Linked DNA regions of Lonchura striata. The protein of the gene in region 1 binds, or shares a complex with, the protein of each later gene. Links are inferred from orthologs where the notes say so. Each region holds a gene or a part of one and is shown on either strand. Other genes may lie near its edges.

What was found.
Region 2: EFTUD2 (region 1) and RBM48 share a complex: the UniProt entries of both Homo sapiens proteins name them as parts of the minor spliceosome. The link is inferred for Lonchura striata from reciprocal best matches to the Homo sapiens genes EFTUD2 and RBM48.
Region 3: EFTUD2 (region 1) and CWC27 share a complex: the UniProt entries of both Homo sapiens proteins name them as parts of the minor spliceosome. The link is inferred for Lonchura striata from reciprocal best matches to the Homo sapiens genes EFTUD2 and CWC27.

What each region holds. Positions count from the first base shown.
Region 1 is NC_134627.1:2,898,511-2,902,256, forward strand, and holds the start of EFTUD2 (116 kDa U5 small nuclear ribonucleoprotein component), read left to right. Parts: upstream 1-1,174; 5' UTR 1,175-1,260; intron 1,261-1,640; 5' UTR 1,641-1,641; coding exon 1,642-1,746; intron 1,747-2,346; coding exon 2,347-2,512; intron 2,513-2,930; coding exon 2,931-3,009; intron 3,010-3,746. Other genes in the region: DNAAF19 (dynein axonemal assembly factor 19), read right to left, coding at 346-506. UniProt on the Homo sapiens protein: Required for pre-mRNA splicing as component of the spliceosome, including pre-catalytic, catalytic and post-catalytic spliceosomal complexes. Component of the U5 snRNP and the U4/U6-U5 tri-snRNP complex, a building block of the spliceosome.
Region 2 is NC_134603.1:133,592,945-133,596,690, reverse strand, and holds the start of RBM48 (RNA-binding protein 48), read left to right. Parts: upstream 1-1,023; 5' UTR 1,024-1,811; coding exon 1,812-2,212; intron 2,213-2,325; coding exon 2,326-2,471; intron 2,472-3,746. UniProt on the Homo sapiens protein: As a component of the minor spliceosome, involved in the splicing of U12-type introns in pre-mRNAs.
Region 3 is NC_134642.1:28,456,121-28,459,866, reverse strand, and holds the start of CWC27 (spliceosome-associated protein CWC27 homolog), read left to right. Parts: upstream 1-744; 5' UTR 745-874; coding exon 875-916; intron 917-1,647; coding exon 1,648-1,744; intron 1,745-3,295; coding exon 3,296-3,408; intron 3,409-3,746. Other genes in the region: protein SREK1IP1, read right to left, coding at 461-473. UniProt on the Homo sapiens protein: As part of the spliceosome, plays a role in pre-mRNA splicing. Probable inactive PPIase with no peptidyl-prolyl cis-trans isomerase activity. As a component of the minor spliceosome, involved in the splicing of U12-type introns in pre-mRNAs.

The DNA.
Region 1 (3,746 bases):
TGCCAGCACAGCCTGGGGCTGTGGGGCTGGGCTGGGAACGGGAAAAGGTGACATTGTCCTGGGGAGGGGACAGTGCCACTCCACTGCTGGCTACAGCTGGGCCACCACAGGGGTCAGGCACGGAGCAGAGACAGATCTCAGCCCACACGGGGCCACCTGAGGAGCTCTGGGCCAAGTCTCAACCACGGCCGGGTGGGCTCTGCCCCGGGGCTGTTCAGGGCACCCCGGGGCCGCTGCCCTCGGGTCCCTCGGGGCAGCCTCAGACCCTCAGAGCTGAGCTCAGACCCGGGGGGAGCGCCCAGCCGAGCTCCCGGCCCCTCCCGGGCCGCTCCCCGAGCCCCGGACCTGAACTGGTCGTAGTCGGGGACGCCCTGGCGGAGCGCCCGCAGCTTGGCCTCGCCCTCCCGCTGCCGCCGCTCGTCCTCCGCCAGCGCCGCCCGCAGCTCCCGCTCCAGCGCCGGGAACGCTCCGGCCGGATCCATCCCGGGCTCCATCCCCGGCTCCATCCCGGGCCGCGGGCAGGCACCTGCGGGACGTGCGGACAGGGACAGCCCTGCCTGCGGTGGCTTCGAGGACACACTTCTGTCACAACAGCGCTGCCGGGACTGGCCCGACAGCCCCGATCCTATCGCGACAGTCCTGCCTTGTGAGCCCCAAGGCCGCGCACGGGGATGGCCACTGGGAAGCGCTCCCCTGCCCGAAACTCCCCAGGCCCTGACACACCGCCGGCCCCGGGGCCCCTTGCTGTGTCGCGACAGCCCCGCGGGTGACGAACACCTCAGCCCAGGGCTGCTCTCTATCGCGACAGCCCCGCGGGTGACGAACACCTCAGCCCACGGCCGCGGTCTATCGCGACAGCCCCGCGGGTGACGAACACCTCAGCCCAGGGCCGCTCTCTATCGCGACAGCGCCGCGGGTGACGAACACCTCAGCCCACGGCCGCGCTCTATCGCGACAGCGCCGCTCCCGCCGCCAGAGCGCCGGGGCCACGCAAGGTCCCCGGGGCTGCCCCGGCCGCGCCTGACAGGACCGGCCCCGCCGCCCCGCGCGGCCCCGCTCGCCCCGCGGCCCTCGGGATGCTCCGGAACCGGTCCCGACCCGGTCCCGACCCCGCTCCGGACTCAGCCGGCGCTCCTCGGAGGGGCGCGGCGCTGGCGACGGGCGCGGAACGCTCTGTGGCGACAGGCGGCGAGGGCGGCCCGGGGCCCTTCGGCAGCGGCGGCGCCGGCGAGAGCAGCGGCGGGAGCGGAGCCGGGGCAGGTGAGGGAGAGCGGGACCGGGAACGGGACTGGGAATGGGAATGGGACCGGGAACGGGACTGGGACCGGGGCCGGTGAGGGAGAGCGGGAACGGGGCCGGGGCCGGGGCCGGTGAGGGACAGCGGGACCGGGACCGGGAACGGGACTGGGACCGGTGAGGGAGAGCGGGACCGGGAACGGGACTGGGACCGGGACCGGGAGTGGGACCGGGGCCGGTGAGGGAGAGCGGGACCGGGGCCGGGACTGGGACCGGTGAGGGTGAGGGAGAGCGGGACCGGGACCGGGCCGAGGCTGCGGACAGGGCCGGGGCTCCGTGCCCTGAGGCGGTTCTGTCACGGCCCGCAGTCCCTGCGCCCCCACCGATCCTCTCCCGCCCCCCAGCATGGACACCGACCTGTACGACGAGTTTGGGAACTACATCGGGCCCGAGCTGGACTCGGACGATGACGACGACGAGCTGGGCCGAGAGGCCAAAGACCTGGACGAGGTGAGGCGGGGCAAAGAGCCCCGGGGCCGGCGGGGTTCGTCCTGCCCGGAGCCGGAGCGGGGACGGGCCCGGGCTGCTGCCGCCCCGTGTGACTCTGGGCTCTGCTCAGTGCCCGAGGGTCGGAGTGTGCCGGTGTTTAAAGGATTACAAAAGCTGTTCCTGCAGAAAGGGAGATGCAGAGTCCTTGCTGGGAGCTCCCGGGCCGGGCTGTGCTCGGCTGGTTTGGTGTCGGGCGGGGTCCGTGTCCGGCGGGAGGGAGCCGAGGCTGCCGCGGGGAGCCGCATCCTGGTGGGGAGAGGCAGAGCAAGACCCCACGGACACGGGGGGAGCAGAGGGGCGGGGAGCCCCTTCCCATGGCCTGTGGGGTGGGTTGTGTTACCGGGTGTGATTCTTGTGCTGTGTGGGGTCGCTGCCTGGGCTGGTGTCCCTGCAAGGCCAGGGGCTGTTCCTGATCCTGTGCTGTGGGCAGAGCCATGCTGCTCCTCCAGGAGCTGCTCCCAGGGCACCTCTGGGGCTGCACTGGGGTCCCTGGCTCGGGGTGACCCCAGGCCTGTCCCCTTGGGGGGCCCCACAGCCGCTCAGGGCGAGCTTTGGTTGCAGCTGGAGGATGATGACGATGACGATGACATGGGGGAGCACGATGAGGAGCACCCCGGGATGGAGGTGGTGCTGCACGAGGACAAGAAGTACTACCCCACGGCAGAGGAGGTCTATGGGCCTGAGGTGGAGACCATTGTGCAGGAGGAGGACACGCAGCCACTCACCGGTGAGTGGGGAGGAGGTGGCGGGAGGAGAAGGCTCTTAATGGATCCTTGGAAAGGGAAATAATCTTCCCTTCTCTCCTGCCCCGTTGGAGCCCCCTCCTAGCCTCAGGAGCTCTGCCTGTTGTGTGCAGATTTGGGCACTTGTGGTTTTTGCAAACCCAAAGGTACCTTGGAAGAACAGGAATCAGCAGAGATGGGAAAGCTGTGTAAGGGAGAAGTAAATGCAGTTAAGTGATCTCCTTTACCGGAATGGCTCAGCTGGAAGGGCCCTGCAGTGGCCATCTCCTGCAGCCTTGACAAACAGCTGGGAGAATCTGTCAGCCACAAAATTGAGGGGTTGTCAGCTGAAGTCCCCATTCCAGGGGCCATTCCTGGTTCAGGGGCTCTGGGAACAGTCTGTTGTTGTGTCTCTTGTTTCAGAGCCCATTATCAAACCTGTGAAAACCAAGAAGTTCTCCCTGATGGAGCAGACGCTGCCGGTCACTGTCTACGAGATGGAGTGAGTGTGGGGCTGGGGAGGCACATCTGGGCTCTGGCTTGGTGTCCCACTGACCTGAGAGCAGCCAGTTCCCAGGTTCTGAACCCAAAACAAGAGGAAGTGCAGGACAAACTGTTTCACAGACATTTTCCCTCCCCACCAGCAGCACAGGGTAGGGTTGCACACAAAAGGGGCTAATATCAAGCTCCATAGCAACAGCTTGTGGCTCAGGAAACCTTCTTGGAATGGTTTGGGTCGCAAGGGACCTTAAAACCCATCCCTGCCATGGGCAGGGACACCTTCCACTATCCCAGCTTGCTCCAAGCTCCAATGTCCAGCCTTGGCCTTGGATACTTCCAGGATGGAGCAGCCACAGCTGCTCTGCCCAACCTGTTAAATATCCACACAGTCAGTGTGTAGCACACATCATACTGGGACATTTTGGGTTGATCCCACTCTCAGATTAGGTCAGATTAGGTCCCATCTGTTCCAGTTTCCATTGGGAATTTTTGTGCTGCTGGCTGAGTGCAGAGTGCTGTGTCAGTCAGCAGTTGTGCTGTGCTTGTGGCCCAAAGCAGCTTCTTGGACACCAGGGCTGGGAGAAAACTTGGAAAAAATTCCAAATGCATTTAAAATTGGAGATGTCATATGTCAAAGGAGTTTTCTGTGGAATAAAAAGCATCCTTGGCTTTTTCTGGTAGAAATGTAGTGTTGGTCTGTGCATTGTGGTGGGCAGGGTCCATGGCCCTGTACATGCA
Region 2 (3,746 bases), on another chromosome or scaffold:
ACGGCCCACTGCCGGCCAATGCGGGCACGGCGTTTCCCGCTGCCCGCCTCTGATTGGCTCCTTCGCTGCGGACCGCGGCTCCTCCTCCCGCCGCACGGAGGGAGCCAATGGGGGGGCTGCGCGGCGCGGGGGGCGGTGGGAAGATGGCGGCCGGCGGCAGCAGCGGGGGCCCGGGCGCTCCGTGCCGGCACCACGCGCAGCTGGGAGCGTGCGCGTCGCGCGCCAAGTACCGCGAGGGGTGGCGGCCGCGCGCCGTGAAGGTGCCGGGCGGGCGTGAGCGGGCGGAGCCGCCTCCGTGAGGGGCTGGGGGCGGCCGGGGCTGCGCTGGAGTCCCGCGGCTCCCGGGAGGGAGAGAGGGAGGCCCTGGGCCTGGCCTGCTGCGCGGCCGGGGCTTCTCGTTACTGCGGCAGAGCTGAGAGCTTTGGTATCTCTGTGTGCGCTCTGTGTACAGTGAGCCGTAGCGGCACCTTGGAGGCTGGCGCGAGAAAGGAAGCGCTAAGGTTGGAGAAGGCCTTTAAGATCATGAAGTCCAACCGCTTCTGTTTCCAGCCTCTCGTCAGGAGTTGTAGAGAGCGATGATGACTCCCCGAACCACCTTTTTTCCAACCTGAGCCCCCCAGCTCGCTGAGCTGCTCCTCATCAGACCTGTGACCCTTCTCTGGACATGCTCTGGCACCTCAGTGTCTTGGAGAGAGGCCCCGAGCTGAACCCAGGATTCGAGGCGCAATCTCACCAGTGCTGGAATAAGGGTTACTGCGTGCCCACAAACATAGGGACATCTTTTTCGCCAGTGCCACCTTCCTGTAAAATTTCAAACCCTCCATAGTTCATGAAGTCTCAAAGCTGTTACGTTCTTTTATTCTTCCAAGTGTACATGGGGAGGCAGAGGACAGAGAGCCTTGTGCATCCACAGAGCTCTGGCCAGCACAGGCATCCAGCCATCACTGGGCATTGGAGGAGACACACAGGAGAAACAGTATGGATGTCCCAAGTGTGGAAAAAACCTTATTAGAATCTTTTCTTCCTGGACAAGAAAGAGGTAGAAGGACAAACCTTCCCAAAAAAACCAGTCACATAGTGAAAGCCTGAAATTCCTTCAATCCCTTGTTCCCAAAAGAATGTAGGTGGGAGTGTGCAGCTGCCACAAGAAAACTTACATGACCTGCCTGCAGAAACTTTTATAGTGGAAGTTTGAGAGTTGATTTCCCAAGCAGTTCTCACTTTGTCCAGAATATGGGGTTTTTTTAAGAAATATGTGTAACTTATGCAGTCTAAATATTTGTGGTTTGGGGTTTTTTTTAACAAACTCAGAATAAATTTCCTTTAATCTCAGGGATAACCTGCCTAGCTGTCTGTTGTACATAGTGAGCCATCAACAAGCTTTGCTTAGAGTCTGTTATGTGACAGTCACAAAGCAAATAAGAATGGTTGGTTTCATTTTTAACTTGCTGAGAGAAGACCTTCTTTTTCTCAGCATACAGATTTTATCTGTGTGTCTTAAAAATGTACACTGTTGGATCACCATGGGAAGTAGACAGCTCTGCACACACAGGATTTACCCCAGGGAATTGTGGTAATTATTTTTTTACTCCCTGTGTGGAAAAAAGCAGTTTTCCTCACTTGCACAACTTCTTTGGCTATGAAGACCAATTTTTCAGTGTTTTTTTTCTGTATTTTGACAGCATGTCCTATAAACTGGTCACTAGTATGTCTTGCATGGAAGATGGCCAGAGATGTAAGAGATTTTACTTGGGAACTGGCAGTAGTACTCTGACTTTGTGTAGAAAAGTCAAGTCTATTTGTGTTTTACTATGCATGAGAGGCATGAGTTCATCTCTTGCTCAGTGATGAAGAGGTCCCAAATGACCATGCACTTACTGCCCTGCAAAACAGTACATGTGGGTTTTCAGCATCCTGAGAGGATTTGGAGAAAAACAGAGAACATGGAGAAAATGCATGCCTTTTGCAATAAAGCAAGAATGGGAATGTTTTTTCATAGTCTTTGTTTTTGTTTTTTTCAGGTTTACACTATCAACTTGGAATCTCGCTACTTACTGATACAAGGAGTTCCTGCATTAGGTGTTATGAAGGAGTTAGTTGAACAATTTGCATTATATGGTGCCATTGAGGAATATCATGCTTTAGATGAATATCCAGCAGAGCAGTTTACTGAAGTGTACCTTATAAAATTCAAAAAACTGCAATGTGCAAGGTATTGGACAGGGCAATATCTGCCTCTTGCTGTCTTAATCTTTTACACCTTCTGTACTTGCAATGTGTTAAGTAAAATCCTCAGTTTTGTTGATAGACTTTAATTCCCTTCAGGGTGGCCAAGAAAAAAATGGATGAACGAAGTTTCTTTGGTAGTTTGCTGCACGTGTGCTATGCTCCAGAATTTGAAACAGTCCAAGAAACTAGAGAGAAGTTGCAGGATAGAAGAAAGTATATAGCAAAAGCAACAAATCAAAGAGGTTAGTGATTAAATTTTCTATAGAATCCTGACTAAATTTCCTATAAAATTTTAATGTTCTTCAGGACTGGGTGGGGTTTTGGCTAAAGTGCCTGTTAAAGAAAACTTTTTACCTACCTCTTAAAGATGCTATAGTGTGTGGATGGTGGCCAGATGCCAGGTGTCCACCAAAGCTGCTCACTCACTGCCGTCCACAAACCGGACAGAGGAGAGAAAATTTAACAAACAGTTCATGGGTTGAGATAAGGAGCAGGAGGAAGATCACTTATCAAATACCATCAAGGCAAAACAGGCTCTACTTGGAGACATAATGTGAAATTATTTCTAACAAACTCAAAGCAGGATGAGAATTAAATAAGCCCTTATAACCACCTTCCTCCCTTCTCAGGTCTATCCCCTGCCCAGCAGTGCAAGGGCACAGGGAATGGGGGTAATGGTCAGCTCATCACCCATGGCTTCTCCCGCTGCTCAGGGAGAGGAGTCGCTCCCCTGCTGCCCCCGGGGAGGCTCGGGAGGCGGTTCCCTGTGAACTCTCCAGCGTGAGCGCATCTCGGAGCGGCAGCTCCCTGTGAGCTGCTGCCACGGGTCCCTCCACGGGCACAGCCTCCCCAGCCCGCTCAGGGTGGGTCACTGCTCCGGGGTGCATCCTCCAGGGCCAGGCTGCTCCCGCCCGCAGCCGGGCCCCTCTCCACGGGTCTCCCCCGGGATCGCAGCCTCCTCCCAGGCATGCCCGTGCTCCGGCCCGGGGCTCCTCCCCGGGCTGTGGCGGATCCCGCATCCCCACGGCCCCCACGGGCTGCGGGGCACAGCGGCCTCCCCATGGCGGCCCCGCGGCCTGAGGGAATCTCGGCTCCAGCGCCCGGAGCCCCTCCTGCCCCTCCTGCCCCGACCTCGCCGTCTGCAGGGCTGCTTCTCGCACGGGCTCGCTCTGCTCTTCTCTGGCCGCAGCTACAACTGCACAAACACTTCTTGTTTATTTTCCTGCTTAAATCTGTTACCACAGAGGTGCTACCGCCATTTCTAATCGGCCTGGCCTTGCCCAGTGGCACATCCATCTTTGGAGCCACCAGGAATTGGCTCTGCTGGACATGGTGAAAGAATCTGGCAGCTTCTCACAAAAGTCAACCCTGTAGCCCGCTCGCTACAAAAAAAGGGGTCATGCAAACCCAATACAGAAGCATTTTAAGTATGTTTACAGGGAGACATCTCGCAATATGTAGAGAACTATATCCTTTTCAAAGTATTTTTTTGGCTTTGATTAAGACGAAAATAATGA
Region 3 (3,746 bases), on another chromosome or scaffold:
CACATCGCGCAGGTGTTTCTGCCTGCCCTGACCCACAAGAACCATCTACTGGGACACAAGCATTAGGGAAAAGCCAAGTCTGCCAGCCACCGCGCTCTCGCTCCAGCCTCAGAGGAGGCGATGGCAGCGCGGCGCCGGGATCCCGAGCCTCGGGACGGGCCCCGCAGCGCCCCCGGCTGCCCCTGCCAGCGCGGGCACGGCCCCACCTCATCCATCTCCAGCTCATCTCCACCTCCACCTCATCCATCTCCAGCTCATCTCCACCTCCACCTCATCCATCTCCACCTCCATCTTCCTGCCGCTGCCCCGCCAGCCCGGACCGGAGCAGCGCCCGCCGCCTCCCACACGCTTCCCAGCGCCGCGCACAGCAGCGCGCCCTCCCCGCCGGCTGTCCCGGCTGTCCCGGCCCCGCCGCTCGTTCCCGTGCCGGGCTGCGGGGCCGGGGCCGGCCGCCCCTCACCCGGCAGAGCCATCGCGCCCTTCTCGCCGCGCTGCACCGGCCCGCAAGCGCAGCGACGCCTGTCCCCACCGGAAGGCTTTGCCCGGCGCACTCCCGGATCGTACCACTCCCAGGGAAGGCAGGGGACCTCAGCGCCCCTAGGGCGGGAGCAACGCTGGGAGACCCGAGAGGTGTGGAGAAGCCTGCCGACATTTCCCCAGACACGTTGTTTCTCAGTGAATCTCGGAAAGCCTCTGGCCGAGGACTCGTTCCTTCATCCTTTCTTCGGCTTGTGCAATTTCGTCCCCCCTCCCCTGGGCTGCATAGGGGCGCCCAGCATGGCGGGCGGCTCGGGGCGGTAGGAAGTGCTGGCGGCGGCGAAGCGGGTCCGGCTGCTGGGGAGGGCTCGCCGGCCGGGCCGCTCCTTTCCCCACCATGAGCAACATCTACATCCAGGAGCCGCCTACCAACGGGAAGGTGAGGCTGCCTGGGTGAAATCCTGGAGAAGCTGTATGTTGTAGGGTTATGGGGGGACAGGCGAGAGGAACACGAGCTGGGGTGGTGGTGATGATAGTGATGGTGGTGGTGGTGGTGGTGATTGGGGGTGGAGAGGTCGTTGTTTCTGTGGTTGATTGGTTTGGTTAAAGTTACTTCTTTGAGGCTGCCAGAGTCAAAGCATGTGGCGTGATGTTTGGAGACATAACACAGAGCAGTCCTCGGAGTTTTTAATTTAATTTTTAATTTAATTTTAATTTAATTTTTTAATTTAATCTGCTTCGGATTATAGTTTACCTCCTTAATTTTGTTATGATCTCTCACTGGATATTATGTTCCTTGTAAGGGCAATATCTGGATATTTATGGCTTTTTTTCCCCCCATGCTGCTCAATATAGAAATGATAAAGGGTATCTAAAGTTTCTGTGAAGCATCAGCCATCTTATGTTATGTGTTATGCTATGTTATGTTATGTTATATTATGTTATGTTATTACAACTATATTATACATCTTTATTATGCATATTGATTCAGAGCTGTATCTCAAGTTCTGGAAATGCTAGTTAGAACTAACAGTAGCTACCTGACATACTTAAATATATATCACTCTTACAAATATAACAAATTCAGATTTAATTTTTTTGGGCAGTTTTACCTTTGATCAGTGACTAAGTTACAGTAAACTGAGTCTTCATTTATCTGTGTGTTTATAGGTTTTGCTGAGAACTACTGCAGGAGAGATAGATATAGAATTATGGTCAAAAGAAGCACCAAAAGCATGCAGAAATTTCATCCAGCTATGTATGGAAGGTAATGATTGAATGGGGTGGGGAGCTGTTGAAATTAATTACTACGTGATCTTTGTGCCCTTTCTGTAAAATAGAGGTCATAATTATATTTTGACTTTAGTATGTCAATAGGTTTATTTGTGTTCAGAAATTATTAGTTAACACTCTGGCAATGTTTTTCAAGGTTACCAATGAAGCTAGTGGAGAAAAAAAATAAAAATTTTGGATGATTTTCTCAAATTAAGCTGATGACCTAGAATTGAAACATTGTCTTTCTGAGTCTTGAGAGGCTTTCTTTCAGCAAATGTCTACAAATTATAACAACATCAGTGTGTGCATAAAATGGCAGTGATACAATATTGGCCATTCTCCAAAACTGTCATTTCTGCATCACAATTTACACTATCATTTCTTTTTTCTTTTTTCCCTGAGCACTCCTTATGTTTCAGTTACTGTATTTTTTGATTGATAAAAGCTCTGTAAAACTTTCCAGCAAACTAGTGGGTTCTTGAATGAGAAGCTCCCTTTTGAGAAAACTGTAACAAAAATCTATGAAAGGCTTGATGCCTTTATATGTTTTCTAACTGGTATTATTCTCCTATTTAAGCATTTGTAAAATTGTGAAGAGTTCTTTTTGCCTTCATATGTTAAACAAAAATAGCAGTCTAAGCTTTGTGCCTCCAGCATAGATCCAGTCTGTTTTGTCCAGTCTCTTTTCCTGAATGTTGAGACTTTTTGCAATGGTAAAGGAATTTCTAAGCCCATGATAAAGGTTCATATGTGCTCAGTGGGTTTAATTTAAGTCTGATTTTTTTTAATTACTGTAAAGCATCTTGTGCTTTATAATACATTTAAGTATTTCTCATTAATATCCTAGCATATAACCATCCATGACTGTGTCTAGTTATGCTGCAACATTTGCACACCCTGCCTTATCTTGCAACATGCTACAGAATTATTTATTATTATTATTATATCAACCAGGGGTTTGATTCAGGTAAAGTTTTGTTTTCAATCCTTTTGTTTTCTTATGATCGTATAACCTCTATCAGATAGATAAAAGAAGATATCTTAGAGAGCAAAATGTACCACATATTTTATTCTGCAAAAATTACCAGTTTCAATACAGTGCAGGTGATTAAAGATGTTCTATGCTAGTGAGTGAAAGTGCAAATCATCTGTATATGGGTATTGCTAATGGCTAATGTTGTATGTGAGATCTCATCCAGGATACAGCACCATATTTCTAGTTCTCCTTTAAAATTGGTGCATTTTGATAGTGTCATTCCACTAATAAAATCTTAAAAGTTGAAAAGAATGTAATTCATCAAGGTCATCTTGTCAGTGATGGGCAGGATTTTTTGCAAAAGAAGCATGTGATACCACAGGTTGTGATTTCGTAAGTCTGTGGAGAATAGAACGGAAACAAATAGAAGCCAACAGTGGAATCTAGTTGCAGTATTTGCTTTCTGGAACTTCAGTCTCTGGATATCACTGCATGATCTGTATGAAAGTTTGGGTTTGAGACCACTTACATGTATTTAAAATATATATATTTCTTTTTCTTTTTTAGAGTATTACAATAACACAATATTTCACAGAGTAGTGCCTGGCTTTATTGTGCAAGGGGGTGACCCCACTGGTACTGGATCAGGAGGAGAGTCAGTCTATGGAGCTCCTTTCAAGGTGTGTATCTGTTACTTACACATTAATTTGTTGGGTATTCTCTATCCTTTGTTATTCCTACCAAGTTCTGAAAAATCAAATGTTACATGAAACACATACTTGAGCAGTAGTTGCCTTCATGTGCTACTTCAGTGTGTTTGAATATCCCCTTCTAAATTGAGAGTTCTTAGATCTAGCTATGCTGGTATAATGATAAACCTGGGGGCTCAGATCCTGAGCAAAGCTACACACAGGCTGAGCAGCTGTGTTCTGTTCTGTCTGACTGTTTTATTTCAGGTGGGGCAGGCACCTTTAATTTGTGACTGAAGCTGCAAAGCCTGTTTCTAGGCCTTCCAACT